Linked DNA regions of Caenorhabditis elegans. The protein of the gene in region 2 purifies or fractionates together with the protein of the main gene of each other region. This does not show direct contact. Each region holds a gene or a part of one and is shown on either strand. Other genes may lie near its edges.

What was found.
Region 1: the proteins of mppa-1 (region 2) and Y75B8A.7 fractionate together in Caenorhabditis elegans (co-fractionation; one large-scale study listed by BioGRID). This does not show direct contact.

The regions. Positions count from the first base shown.
Region 1 is NC_003281.10:12,151,048-12,158,911, forward strand, and holds the start of Y75B8A.7 (U3 small nucleolar ribonucleoprotein MPP10), read left to right. Parts: upstream 1-1,851; 5' UTR 1,852-1,867; coding exon 1,868-1,938; intron 1,939-2,007; coding exon 2,008-2,188; intron 2,189-3,055; coding exon 3,056-3,490; intron 3,491-4,642; coding exon 4,643-4,800; intron 4,801-6,008; coding exon 6,009-6,358; intron 6,359-7,798; coding exon 7,799-7,864.
Region 2 is NC_003279.8:1,748,028-1,752,621, forward strand, and holds the start of mppa-1 (Mitochondrial-processing peptidase subunit alpha), read right to left. Parts: upstream 3,029-4,594; coding exon 2,708-3,028; intron 669-2,707; coding exon 260-668; intron 1-259. Other genes in the region: Y71G12B.10 (hydroxymethylglutaryl-CoA lyase), read left to right, coding at 3,466-3,558, 3,620-3,832, 4,577-4,594. UniProt on the Caenorhabditis elegans protein: Substrate recognition and binding subunit of the essential mitochondrial processing protease (MPP), which cleaves the mitochondrial sequence off newly imported precursors proteins.

The sequences.
Region 1 (7,864 bases), on a different chromosome or scaffold from region 2:
GCAACGCGCCGTAAATCTACCCCCAGATATGGCCTGGCCTAGTTCGGCAAAAACTCTTCCATTTCAATTTCTGAGGGAAGCCAGACACATCCGTGAATTTTTGACCATATCCACGTTTTTCTTGTCAAATAACAATAGCATATTCAACAGGACAATTGACAATTGAATTGAGATATGAGAAACAAGAAAAAGTAATTTGACTCCTGACTTCTTCTTCTTCTTTTTCATAGAGTGGATGGTGGATAGTGACATACAAACAGGGCACACAGTTTCGTGTTGACACTCTCTCTCTCTCTGGACAGAACAATATAAGACACGAACATGAAAAGGAAGATGAACAATGTTCCTGCAAAAAAAAGTTGAAGCTTGGAAGAGTTGGAGAAATTTTCACCAAATCAGCAATTGCCGGAAATGAAAATTTCGGGCAAATCGGCAAATTGCCAGGATTGAAAATTTCCATCAAATCGGCAATTGCTGAAAATGAAAAATTTGGGCAAGTTGACAAATCGGCAAATTGCCGGAATTGAAAATTTCCGGAAAATTGGCAAATCGGCAAATTGCCGCAATTGAAAATTTCCGCTAAATTGGCAAATTGCCGGAATTGAAAATTTTCCGGCATATCGGTGAATCGCCAAATTGCCGGAATTGAAAATTTCCGGAAAATTGGCAAATCGGCAAATCGCCGGAATTGAAAATTTCCGCCAAATTGGCAAACTGCCGGAATTGAAAATTTTCCGGCATATCGGCGAATCGCCAAATTGCCGGAATTGAAAATTTCCGGTAAATTGGCGGAGTTGAAAATTTCCAGCCAATTGGCAATTTCCGAAAATTAAAATTTCCGGCAAATCGGCACATTGCCAGAATTGAAAATTTCCGGCAAATTGGCAATTGCCGAAAATTAAAATTTCGGGCAAATCGCAAATTGCCCGGAATTAAAAATTGCATTTTGCCGATTTGCCGAAAAAACGACAATTGCAGAAAATTGTGGTTTTGACATTTTTGGAAATTTCAGAATTTCAACATTATTTGTTTTAAGTGGATCCGTCTTTTTAAAAGTCTCTTTAAAAACTTTCGCAAACGGCAAATCGGCAATTTGTCGAAAATGGAAATTTTCGGCAATTTTGCTCGTTTATTACATGTTTAATCCTAAATTTCGGTATATTTTCAGTCGCTGGGAACACAAATTTCATAAAATTTCGCTTTATTTTGTGTTAAAAACTAAATTTTCTCAGAAAAATTCACATTTTAAAGGAAATTCTTCAATTTGAACTTCCCGCTATTTTTATACTGTCTGTTTTATCAACAGGGCGCGTTTGCACTTTTCAACTTCTGGCTTTTTTCGCCTTTTTTAATCCATTTTTTCACATTTATTGATCGAAAATCTTGCGGATAAAGGCTATTTTTTCAAGATTAAATTAATAAAAATTTGAAATTACTTAAATTGAATCCTAAAATCTGTGAAAATCCCAAAATAATACTCTCAAATCGGAGCCAAGCCGTCAATACATAGAAAAAATCCAAAAAACCTTAAAACTGCTGATTTTTCCACTTTTTTCTACAATTTTCCGACACTTTTATAGGTTTTCCATGCCCTAAGTACAAATATGAACGGGATTATTCGTTTTTCTCCCCTCTCTGGCACTCTTGTCGTCTCTCGCCCTCTCACTTACCCCCGCTGTCTCGTTTTCCCATTTCTCGGTGAAATTTTGAACCAATTTTTTGGTTTTTACACTTATTTTGACGATTTTTCCAGTATTTTCGTGTAAAAATTGAGATTTCTCGTGTTTTTAACGTTATTTTATGTGGTTTTAAGTTGTAAAACTTTTTTTTGGGAATTTATCGATTTTTAAGGTAATTCGCTGCAAAAATGACGAAATCAAAGTCAAAAAAGGAGGATTTGATCCCGGAAATCGGGGATTTCACAAAGTTTTTCAAAAGGTTGGCATAATTAATCGAAAAAAATATAGAAAAAAAATTTAAAAAATCAATAAAATGTTGATTTTTCAGTCGATCAAAATTTTCCGACCAAATAACCGATGTTATTTCGAATGTCTACGAATGGTCGACATCACTGGAACCTTCAGAAGACAATCTTCCACTTCCATTTGTTTCGAAAAACGAAGAAGTCGTTTGGAGTTATCTGAAGCATCAGAATAAGCAATTAGATGGAATTAATAAGAAATATAAGGTGCTTATTCGCGGGATTTTGCTCGAAAAATCCTAAAATAATCTTAAATTCCGAAAAAACACAGAAGAAAATCGAAAAAATCGATTTTTAAAGTTCTATTTTTCAATTTTGGCGAAATTCCCTCCAATTCCCTCCAAAATGAAGAACGACCAATCAGCGATTAGCACCGCCCACTTTTGAACCAATAAGAGGAAAGGGGCGGAGTTCGAAGGTGCTGATTGTTCAGTACAAAAAACGGAGGAAAAACGAAAAAAAATCGATTTTTTTTTCGAATTTTGGTTAAATTCCGTTTCCGACCAATCAACGATTCGCTCCGTCCATTTTTGAACCAATCAGATGAAGTGGGCGGAGCTCAAAGACGCTGATTGGTCGTGCAGTCCTTATTTTAAAGGGAATTCAACAAAATTTTAAAAAATCGATTTTTAAAACGTGATTTTTCAATTTTGGTTAAATTCCGTCTTCGACCAATCAGCGATTCGCTCCGCCCACTTTTGAACCAATCAAATGAAGTGGGCGGAGTTTGAAGGCGCTGATTGGTCGGGCAATTCTTATTTTGGAGGGAATTCAAACAAGTTTGAAAAAAATTGCGTTTTTAAATTTCAAACTAAATTTTCGGGATTTTTGAAAAAAATTTCTAAAAATCCCGAAAAAAATGTCCTAAAAAATTTCTAAAAATTCCACAATTTTCAAAAAATCTAGAAATTTTTAGCAATTTCCGAAAAATTTCTAAATTTCCAAAAATATTGAACTTTTTTTGAAAATTTTTGAAAAAAATCGAGTTTTTTTTTCTGAATTTCAGGCTATTTTTTGGAGTTTTTTTTCACTTTTTTTTTCCTCAAAATTGCTTGAAAATGCTCCGAATTTCAGGGATTTCTTTCCGAGTTGATTGGAAAATCGCATATTCGGGTGGCGGCGAAAATTCAGGATTCTGAAGGTTCGGAAGATGGTTCTGATGGCTCCGATGGCGGCTCCGAAGAGGAGCTCGATGATGATGAGGAAGAGCTGGAAGATGAAGAGCTCGAGGATGAAATGATTGACGATGAGGATGAAGCCGATCTTTTTAATTTAAGCGAGAGTGATCTGAAGACGTTGGACGCTGATTTGAAGAAAATGGAAGAAGAAGAAGCCGGAGAAGAGAAAGAGGAGGTGGAAAAAGCCACAGAACAACCGAAAAAATTCAAGAAATCCATTGTGGACGATCAGTTTTTCAATCTTGACGAGATGCACGATTTTTTGCAAAAAACTGAGAGAGCTGGAGGCAAAAAGGCCGCTCAGGATGAGGAAATGATGTTTGAGGATGAAGTATGTACCTGGATGGCTGAAAATCTGCAAAATTTGGATTTTTATGAGCCGAAAAGTGCCAAAAAGTGCCCAAAAACAATTTTAAAAATACACACTTTTTTCCACAAAAAGTGCGCGAAGAAATTGCAAACTCCGCCCCCCTTTTTCCCGGCCAGAATTCGTAATTTCGAAATTAGAGTGCAATCGCGCTCCAACGCCAACACAACACAAGTATTGCCGGAATTGTTAAATTTTCGGCAAATTGGTAAATTGCCGGAATCGATAATTTCCGGCAAATCGGCAAATTGCCGGAATCGATAATTTCCGGCAAATCGGCATAATTGGAAATTTCCAGCAAATTGGCAATTGCCGAAAATGAAAATTTTGGCCAAATCGGCAAATTGCCAGAATTGGAAAGTTCCGGCAAATTGTCAAGTTGCCGGAATTGTTAAATATCCGGCAAACCGGTAAATTGCCGGAATTGAAATTTCCAGCAAATCGACAAATTGCCGGAATTTTAAAATTTCCGGCAAATTGGCAACTTGCCGGAATTGAAAATTTCCAGCAAATCGGCATATTGCCTGATTTGTGAAATTTCCGCCAATTTGCCGAAAATGAAAATTTTGGGCAAATCGGCAAATTGCCAGAATTGAAAAGTTCCGGCAAATTGTCAAATTGCCGGAATTGTTAAATATCCGGCAAACCGGTAAATTGCCGGAATTGAAATTTCCAGCAAATCGGCAAATTGCCGGAATTGCAAAATGTCCGGTAAATCGTAAATTGCCAGAATTGAAAAGTTCCGGCATATCGACAAATCGCCGGAATTGTTAAATATCCGGCAAACCGGTAAATTGGCGGAATTGTGAAATTTCCGCCAATTTGCCGAAAATGAAAATTTTGGGCAAATCGGCAAATTGCCAGAATTGAAAAGTTCCGGCAAATCGGCAAATTGTGGTTTTGCACAATTTTTTGTTGTTGGAAACTTCATATTTTCTTGTTCCAAACGAGACCCAATAGGCCAATTAGCGATGGAGCGCGATTGCACCTCAGTTTTCAAAAACCGCCTCGCTGCCATAATATATTAATCTCGATGAAAATTCCCTAAGAAAATGTGTGTGTGTGTGTGTTTTTTTCAAAATTTCAATTAAAAAAAAAAAAAAATAATAATTTCAGGATAGCTGGGACGGAAAAACCGACTACACGTATGAGGACTTTTTTGGATCTCGTGAGACAGTTGCTGAAACCGAAAAAATGAATGGAGAGAAGAAAAAAATTGAAAAAGATAAGAAACGGAAGGCTGGAGATAAAGCTGATTTATCACTTGATGATGGGTTTGTAGTTTGTAGTTTGGAGGAATTGGAGAAAAAAACGGAAAACCACAGAAAAAAACGAGAAAATCCCCCAACCAATCAGCGTCTTCAACTCCGCCCACTCCACCTGATTGGTTGGAAAGTGGGCGGAGCGAATCGCTGATTGGTCGCGGTCTCATTTTGAAAAAAATTCGGCCAAAATATTGAAAATCTGCGTTTTTTAGTTTTCAAAAAATGTAGAAATTCAGCAATTTCCGAAAATATTTAGAAATTTCTAAATTTTTGGAAATTTGAAATTTTTTTTTCACTTTTTTTTCGCCAAAATTGATGGATTTTTCATTATTTTGCGATTTTTTTTTTCGTTTTTCTCCAAAAATACTGTAAAAATGTAGAAAATCACTAAATTTATCCGAAAAATCACGTTTATTTCAGCTGAAAAAATCAAAAAATATTTTTCGAATTTTCTAGCTGAAATAAATGTAATTTTCCGGATAAATTTAGTGATTTTCTACAATTTGACACTATTTTTCAATGAAAATCGTTGGAAGCACATGGTGCAACATGACAAAATTGTAAAATTGCCGAAAATAAGTGAAAAAAATTTAAAAATCCCAATTTTCAATCTTTTTTCTAGGAACGCCGAAAAAATTGCGAAAAAAGTTGCAAAACGCGATGTTTTGAATTCCCTCCAAATGAGAACTCATCGACCAATCAGCGACTCGCTCCGCCCATCTCTGGACCAATCAGACGAAGTGGGCGGAGTTCGACGACACTGATTGGCCGGGGAGTTTTCATTTTGGGGGAATCCAAACAAAAGTGAAAAAATCGATTTTTAAAAACGTGATTTTTCCAATTTTGATCAAATTCCGTCTGCGACCAATCAGCGATTTGTTCCGCCCTTTTTTGCACCAATCAGGGTGTGTGGGAGGAGTTTGAAGGAGCTGATTGGTCGAAATGCTAATTTTGCGAATTTTTCGCAAAACTCGGAAAAATCCAACTTTCTGAAACTACGACCAATCAGCGATTTGCTCCGCCCACTTTTGCACCAATCAGGGTGTGTGGGCGGAGTTTGAAGGCGCTGATTGGTCGGGGAGTTTTCATTTTGGGGGGAATTTGAAATTTTAAAATCCAAATTTAAAAAATCGCCTTTTTTGTGATTTTTCCGAATTTAGGACTATTTTTTAATAAATTTTTAAAGCGAAAAATTCAATTCAAAAATGTTCTTCCAGAAAGAACAAAAAACGCGTTCGTTTCGCAATGGATGAGGAACCTGAAGAAGAAGAAGTTGAAGACGAGGAGCAAGAAGACATTAATGATGAAGAAGAGCCCCCAGAGGATGAGCCAGTGCTCCTCGGAGCCGACCTCGAAGAGCCGAAGGAAGAATCGGCGTTTGCCAAGCGTCAGTCCAAGATGAAGGAACGAATCGCTAAGCTTGAGGAGGAGAATTTGGCTCCAAAATCGTGGGAGCTCTCCGGAGAGGTTGCCGCCGATCAGAGAGATCAGAATACCCTGCTGGAGAAGCATGTGGATTTTGATCATGGAGCAAAACGTGCTCCAGAGGTTACCGAAGAGTTTACAGGTACGCTGATGATGGCTGGAAATTGGAAATTTTAGAAGAAAAACTATGGGAAAAGCGAAAAAAATCGGGAAAATCTCACTTTTTGAAACTGCGACCAATCAGCGATTAGCTCAGCCCATTTTTGGACCAATCAGATGGAGTGGGCGGAGTTTGAAGGTGATGATTGGTCGGGGAGTTGTCATTTTGCGATTTTTTATCAAAAAAAATCGGGAAAATCCAACTTTTGAAACTGCGACCAATCAGCGATTAGCTCCGCCCATTTTTGGACCAATCAGATGGAGTGGGCGGAGTTTGAAGGTGCTGATTGGTCGGGGAGTTGTCATTTTGCGATTTTTTATCAAAAAAATCGAAAAAATCCAACTTTTGAAACTGCGACCAATCAGCGATTTGCTCCGCCCATTTTTGGCCCAATCAGATGGAGTGGGCGGAGTTTGAAGGTGCTGATTGGTCGGGGAGTTCGAAAATTGAAAAATCACGATTTTTTTCTTTTCAAAGTTTTGAATAAAACAATTTTTTCGGCAGGAAATTAGTTTTTTGAAAAGTTGCAAAAATTTTATAAACAAATTTATTAAAATTGTATTAAAATTAACACAGAAAAAGAGGCGGAGCCTAATTTCGCAACCTTGCCGCACGGTTTTTCCTCTTTCTTTTTGTTGGTTTTTTTCCAATGAAGTTTCGATTTTACTTGTTTTATTTTCTTTCGAAAAACGAAAATAAAACAATTAAATTCAAAAATTGATTTAAAAAATGAAAACCGTGCCACAGGGTTGCGAAATTAGGCTCCGCCTATTTTCTGTGCGACAATGCTGCTTTTTGTAAAATTTACGAATGGAAATCGCCAAATTTCAACCATAAAATAGGCAAAGAGAGCCTCCGTAACACGGAAAAATTGGCGAAATTTGAGATTTGAAACCGTCGCACAGAAAAAGAGGCGGAGCCTAATTTCGCAACCTTGCCGCACGGTTTTTCCTCCTTTTTTGACCGGTGTTAATTTTAATATCCTCATAATAGCATTTTCATTCGAAAAAGAAAATAACATAATTAAATTCAAAAATTGATTTAAAAAAATTAAAACCGTGCCGCAGGGTTGCAAAATTAGGGGCTTCGCCTATTTTTCTGTGCGATGCTGATTCACGACGGATTGCTCGTAAAATTTCAACCATAAAATATGCAAAAAATAGTATTTTTTTCGCAAATTTCGAGGCTTTAGCTTAAAAATGCCGTTTTTTTTTTCAAATTTTAAGACGAAAACTGCCTCTTTTTCTGTGCGATGCGCAAAATTTTATTTTTTTCTAAATTTCAAATATAAAATAGGCAAAAAATAGCTGATATGACATGGAAAAATTGGAAATTTTCGAGATTTTAGCTTAAAAATTCCGTTTTTTTTTTTTTTTTTTTAATTTCAGCCATAAAATAGGCAAAAATAGAGTTTTTTTCCAGACCGCCTCGAGTCACTTATCAAGCAACGAATTCGTGATAAAGCCTGGGATGATGTGATTCGAGTGA
Region 2 (4,594 bases):
TTTGGTTAGTGGAGGGATATGGTCGGGGTACTGTAGGATTACTGTAAGTCAAGTACTGTAACTTTAAGGTTTTTACAGTACTTGTAAGGTACTGTAAGAATTTTTTAATTATAAAATTTTCCGAAAAGGTTTTTTTTTTGAAAAAGCTCAATTTTTCCATATTTTCTCTAATTTTCAACGGTTTTTTTTGTACATTTTTTTTGCGATTTTTCAACAAAAAAAAATCGAAACCTCTCCTCGTGAAGTACAACACAATTACCTCCAACAACCATTCTTTGAGGAGTATGAGCTCTGCTCAAAAACCCATAAACATCAGAAACTCGAATTTTATCCATCGAATTGTTGCCAAATTTCGGATATCCTATAGTATTATTCTGAAAAGCCGCTTGATGAATCCAGTCAGTAAGGAGAATTTCGATGGCTTCAATTCGATTCGGTAGATCTTGATTCTCGTAGGAAACTGTTAGTTTCGCCTGTTCGAGACTTTGTTCGTCAAAAATTGGCTTCCAAATAGTGTCGGATAGTACGTGAATTACAGAATCCACTCCGTCACGATGGCAGCTCGCCGCGTACATCATTGTGTCACGTGTACTCTGACAATCCACAATTCCACTGTTTTCCTCGAGTTTTGCAAAGACTTCGTCGCGGCTTGAGAACGATTCCGATGACTGGAAATTTTGCAATTTTTTTTGGGAAAAATTAGTTTTAACAAATTTTCGAGTTTCAAAAAAAAACTATTTTGGAAATTTTTAAAATTAAAAAAAACCTTACAATTAAAGGAGGACTAACGGTTCGGACGATTTTGAACGTATAGACCCAAAATGTTCTCAAATGAACGAATTTCGTGATGAAACTGCTCAAAAATTTTTCAAAAATTTTTTATGGCGGTTCAAAATTTCGAAAAAATTACACTGATTTTAGCTAAAATCTCGAATTTTGCCTATTTTTCGGTGTCACATCGGTCCGAAGTTGACTTTTTCGGAATTATCATCCTTTATTGCATATATTGGTAGTTTATCTCATTTAATTTTGTTGATTAAGGTACAATTAAAGCCGATCGGTAACCAATTTCGACGATTTTTGGTCACCTATCGGCTTTAAATGTACCTTAATCAACAAAATTAAATGAGATAAACTACCAATATATGCAATAAAGGATGATAATTCCGAAAAAGTCAACTTCGGACTGATGTGACACCGAAAAATAGGCAAAATTCGAGATTTTAGCTAAAATCAGTGTAATTTTTTCGAAATTTTGAACCGCCATAAAAAATTTTATCCGTTAGTCCACCTTTAAGTTATTCTTGAAACTATATATATATGATATATACTATGTATACTGGATATATAGTATGTATATATATTATGTATATAACGAATTTTTCCTAAACTACCGTAACCCTACAGTACTCCTACCGTACCACTATTGTACTACTACAGTAACCCGACTATATATGTTTCAAGAATTTCTTAATTGTAAGGGTTTTTTTTTGAAACATTTCAATTTTTCCGTATTTTCAGATATTTTCTCATGGATATATATATATATATATTTATTTATTTTTGTGAAAAATTAGTTTTTTATTGGAAATTTTTGGTTTGTGGGGGCAAATTTGGCTCTGTAGGGTTTTTTTTTCGAAAAAATTACAAAACTTGAGTTTTCTCGGGTCATTTTTGGATTAATTTTTACCCCCGTTCTCCAAAAAACAAAAACACCCAAAAAATGCGTAGAAATTCAAAATTTTCTTTTCAAAAAATTAAACTTCAAAAACAGAAATTTGCAACAAAAATTTTAGAAAAAAATAGGAATTTCTACTGAAAAAACTAAATTTTCCAAAAAAATAACTTTTAAAAAACTTGGTTGAGTAGCGAAATCTGTGGAAATATTTTTAATTTACTCCAAATTTTCCCCTGATTCCGAATATCTATGTGAAAAAAATTAAAATTCAAAAAAATTCCCCTGATTTTATATTGAAGCTTGAAATCGCCGAATTTCATTTGTACTTCGAAAACACTTTTTTAAATTCGCGCCCAAAAATATTCGCATGGAGCGCGCTTTGATTTTCTTCATTTGAATATTTTCTTCATTTTTCGCCGAGTTCAGTTTTTTTAAAAACCAGTTTCATTAATTTTTGTCGAATCTGTATCGGTTTTTCTAAGAAAAAATATTTTTCGACAAAAATTAATGAAACTGGTTTTTAAAAAAACTGAACTCGGCGAAAAATAAATAAATTATTTAAATGAAGACAATCAAAGCGCGCTCCAATGCGAATATTTTTGGGCGCGAATTTAAAAAAAGTGTTTCCGAGGTACAAATGAAATTCGGCGATTTCAAGCTTAAATATAAAATCAGGGAAATTTTTTTGAATTTTTTCACATTGATATTCGGAATCAGGGGAAAATTTGGAGTCAATTAAAAATATTTCCACAGATTTTGGTACTCAACCAAGTTTTTAAAAAGTTATTTTTTTGAAAATTTAGCTTTTTCAGTAGAAATTCCTGTTTTTTTTTAAATTTTTGTTGCAAATTTCTGTTTTAAGTTTGTTTTTTAACGTATTTTTTGAGTTTTATTGGTTTTTGGAGAACGGGTAAAAATTAATCCGAAACTGGCCCGAGAAAACTCAAATTTCGTCATTTTTTCCCGATTTGCATCATATTTTTCTCTAATTTTTCCAATTTTCCATAATTTTTCCTATCAAAAGCCTACATTATAAGCAAGTTTCTCCACAATTCTCGAAATTCCAAACGGAAAACCATTTTCATAGCGGCAGCCGCTCTCAATCGCGACGCCAACAGTCACAAAATCGCCGTAAGTGTCTTCTGTGCAAACTTTCAGGCCGTTCGGAAGTCTAGTAACCCTCGAGTTTCTTCCCATTGGCGGGCATCCTTTTTCTATTGATTTGGAGTTGTTTTCCATTGGCAGAGGCACGGAGAGCGGGAGTTTCTGCGCAATTTCCTTGTTATTTCGGACGGAAGCGCTTATATCTCGGCATATTTTGATGTAGGGGATGCTTTTCCGAAGGAGCATCTGAAAATTTAATGTATTTTTGATAAATTTCGAGTAAAAAACTGAAAAAATCGAGAAAAATAAATAAAAAATGATTAAATAAATAAATGTGTGCAATTTGTCGTCAAATGTGGTGTGCGGTGTTTGCGGACTTTTGGGATTCGAATAAAAATTATTTATTTTTTATCTATTTTTTATGTTTTTCTTTGATTTTTCTTTGATTTTTAGCTGAAATTATTGGATTTTTATTGATTTTTATTGTTTAAACGATAAATATTGATACTTTACAGTAAAAAACCGCAGAAAATATCGAAAAATCTCAATAATTTTTTTCTTTTAGTTTCTCATTGTTTCCATCAGTTTTTAGGAGCAATTCATATGTTTTCTTCTGCTTTACCGCTCGAATTTTAATGTTTATGGAGAAAACCTTATTTTTATATTTTTAGGCGCGCTAAAAAATGCTGCCCAATCGCCTACTGGCCAACCGTGCCTACTCCACAGCAATAAATCGATTTCGTGTGGTGGAAGTTGGCGCGCGAGACGGTTTACAGGTAATTTATCCTGGAAAATTGCAAAATAATTGCAAAAAATCCATTATTTTCTTAATTTCAGGCCGAAAAGAAGTTCGTTCCCACCGAAATCAAGGTCGAGCTCATCGATCGGCTCTCAGAGTGCGGATTTCAAACGGTAGAGACGACAAGCTTCGTCTCACCGAAATGGGTGCCCCAGTTGGCTGATCACAACGAAATTGTCAAGAAACATCGGAGATTTGAAGGTGTCTCCTACCCGGTTCTGGTTCCAAACGCCGCTGGCCTCAAAAACGCGGTATTTTATTGATTTTTTAGGGCTTAAAGGTGGAGTAGCGCTAGTGGGGATGACCGAATATCATAGTAAAAAAATTCAAAAAATTTTTCTAAATTTTATATGATTTTTTGAAAATTGAAAAAATCTCAGTTTTTGCCTAATTCCTATTTGAATTTCCGCCAATTGGATTTGTTCGATGGAGCGCGCTTGCACGTTTTTAAATTTATTTATTTTTGTTATTTTCCACCAATTTTTAATGTTTTCGGTGTATTTTTGCTCGAATTTTAGAGAAAAAGCCAAGATAAATGCAAATTTTCGATTAAAAAGCACGCTGACAGGCGTAAAAATGACAAAGTAACGCTTTTAAATGATTTCGAACCTGAATTAATTAATTTCACTGATTTACGCCTGTCAGCGTGCTTTTTAATCGAAAATTTGAATTTATCTTGGCTTTTTCTCTAAAATTCGAGCAAAAATACACTGAAAACATTAAAAATCGGTGGAAAATAACAAAAAATAAAATAAATAAATTTAAAAACGTGCAAGCGCGCTCCATCGAACAAATCCAATTGGCGGAAATTCAAATAGGAATTAGGCAAAAACTGAGATTTTTTCAATTTTCAAAAAATCATATAAAATTTTGAAATTTTTTTAAAAATTTTTAATCATGATATTCGGTCATTGTGGTACCATAGGCATGTTTTAAAGCAATTTCCCCACTAGCGCTACTCCACCTTTAAAATTGCAAATTTCTCAAGTTTCCAGCTCGCAACAGGAGTCGTC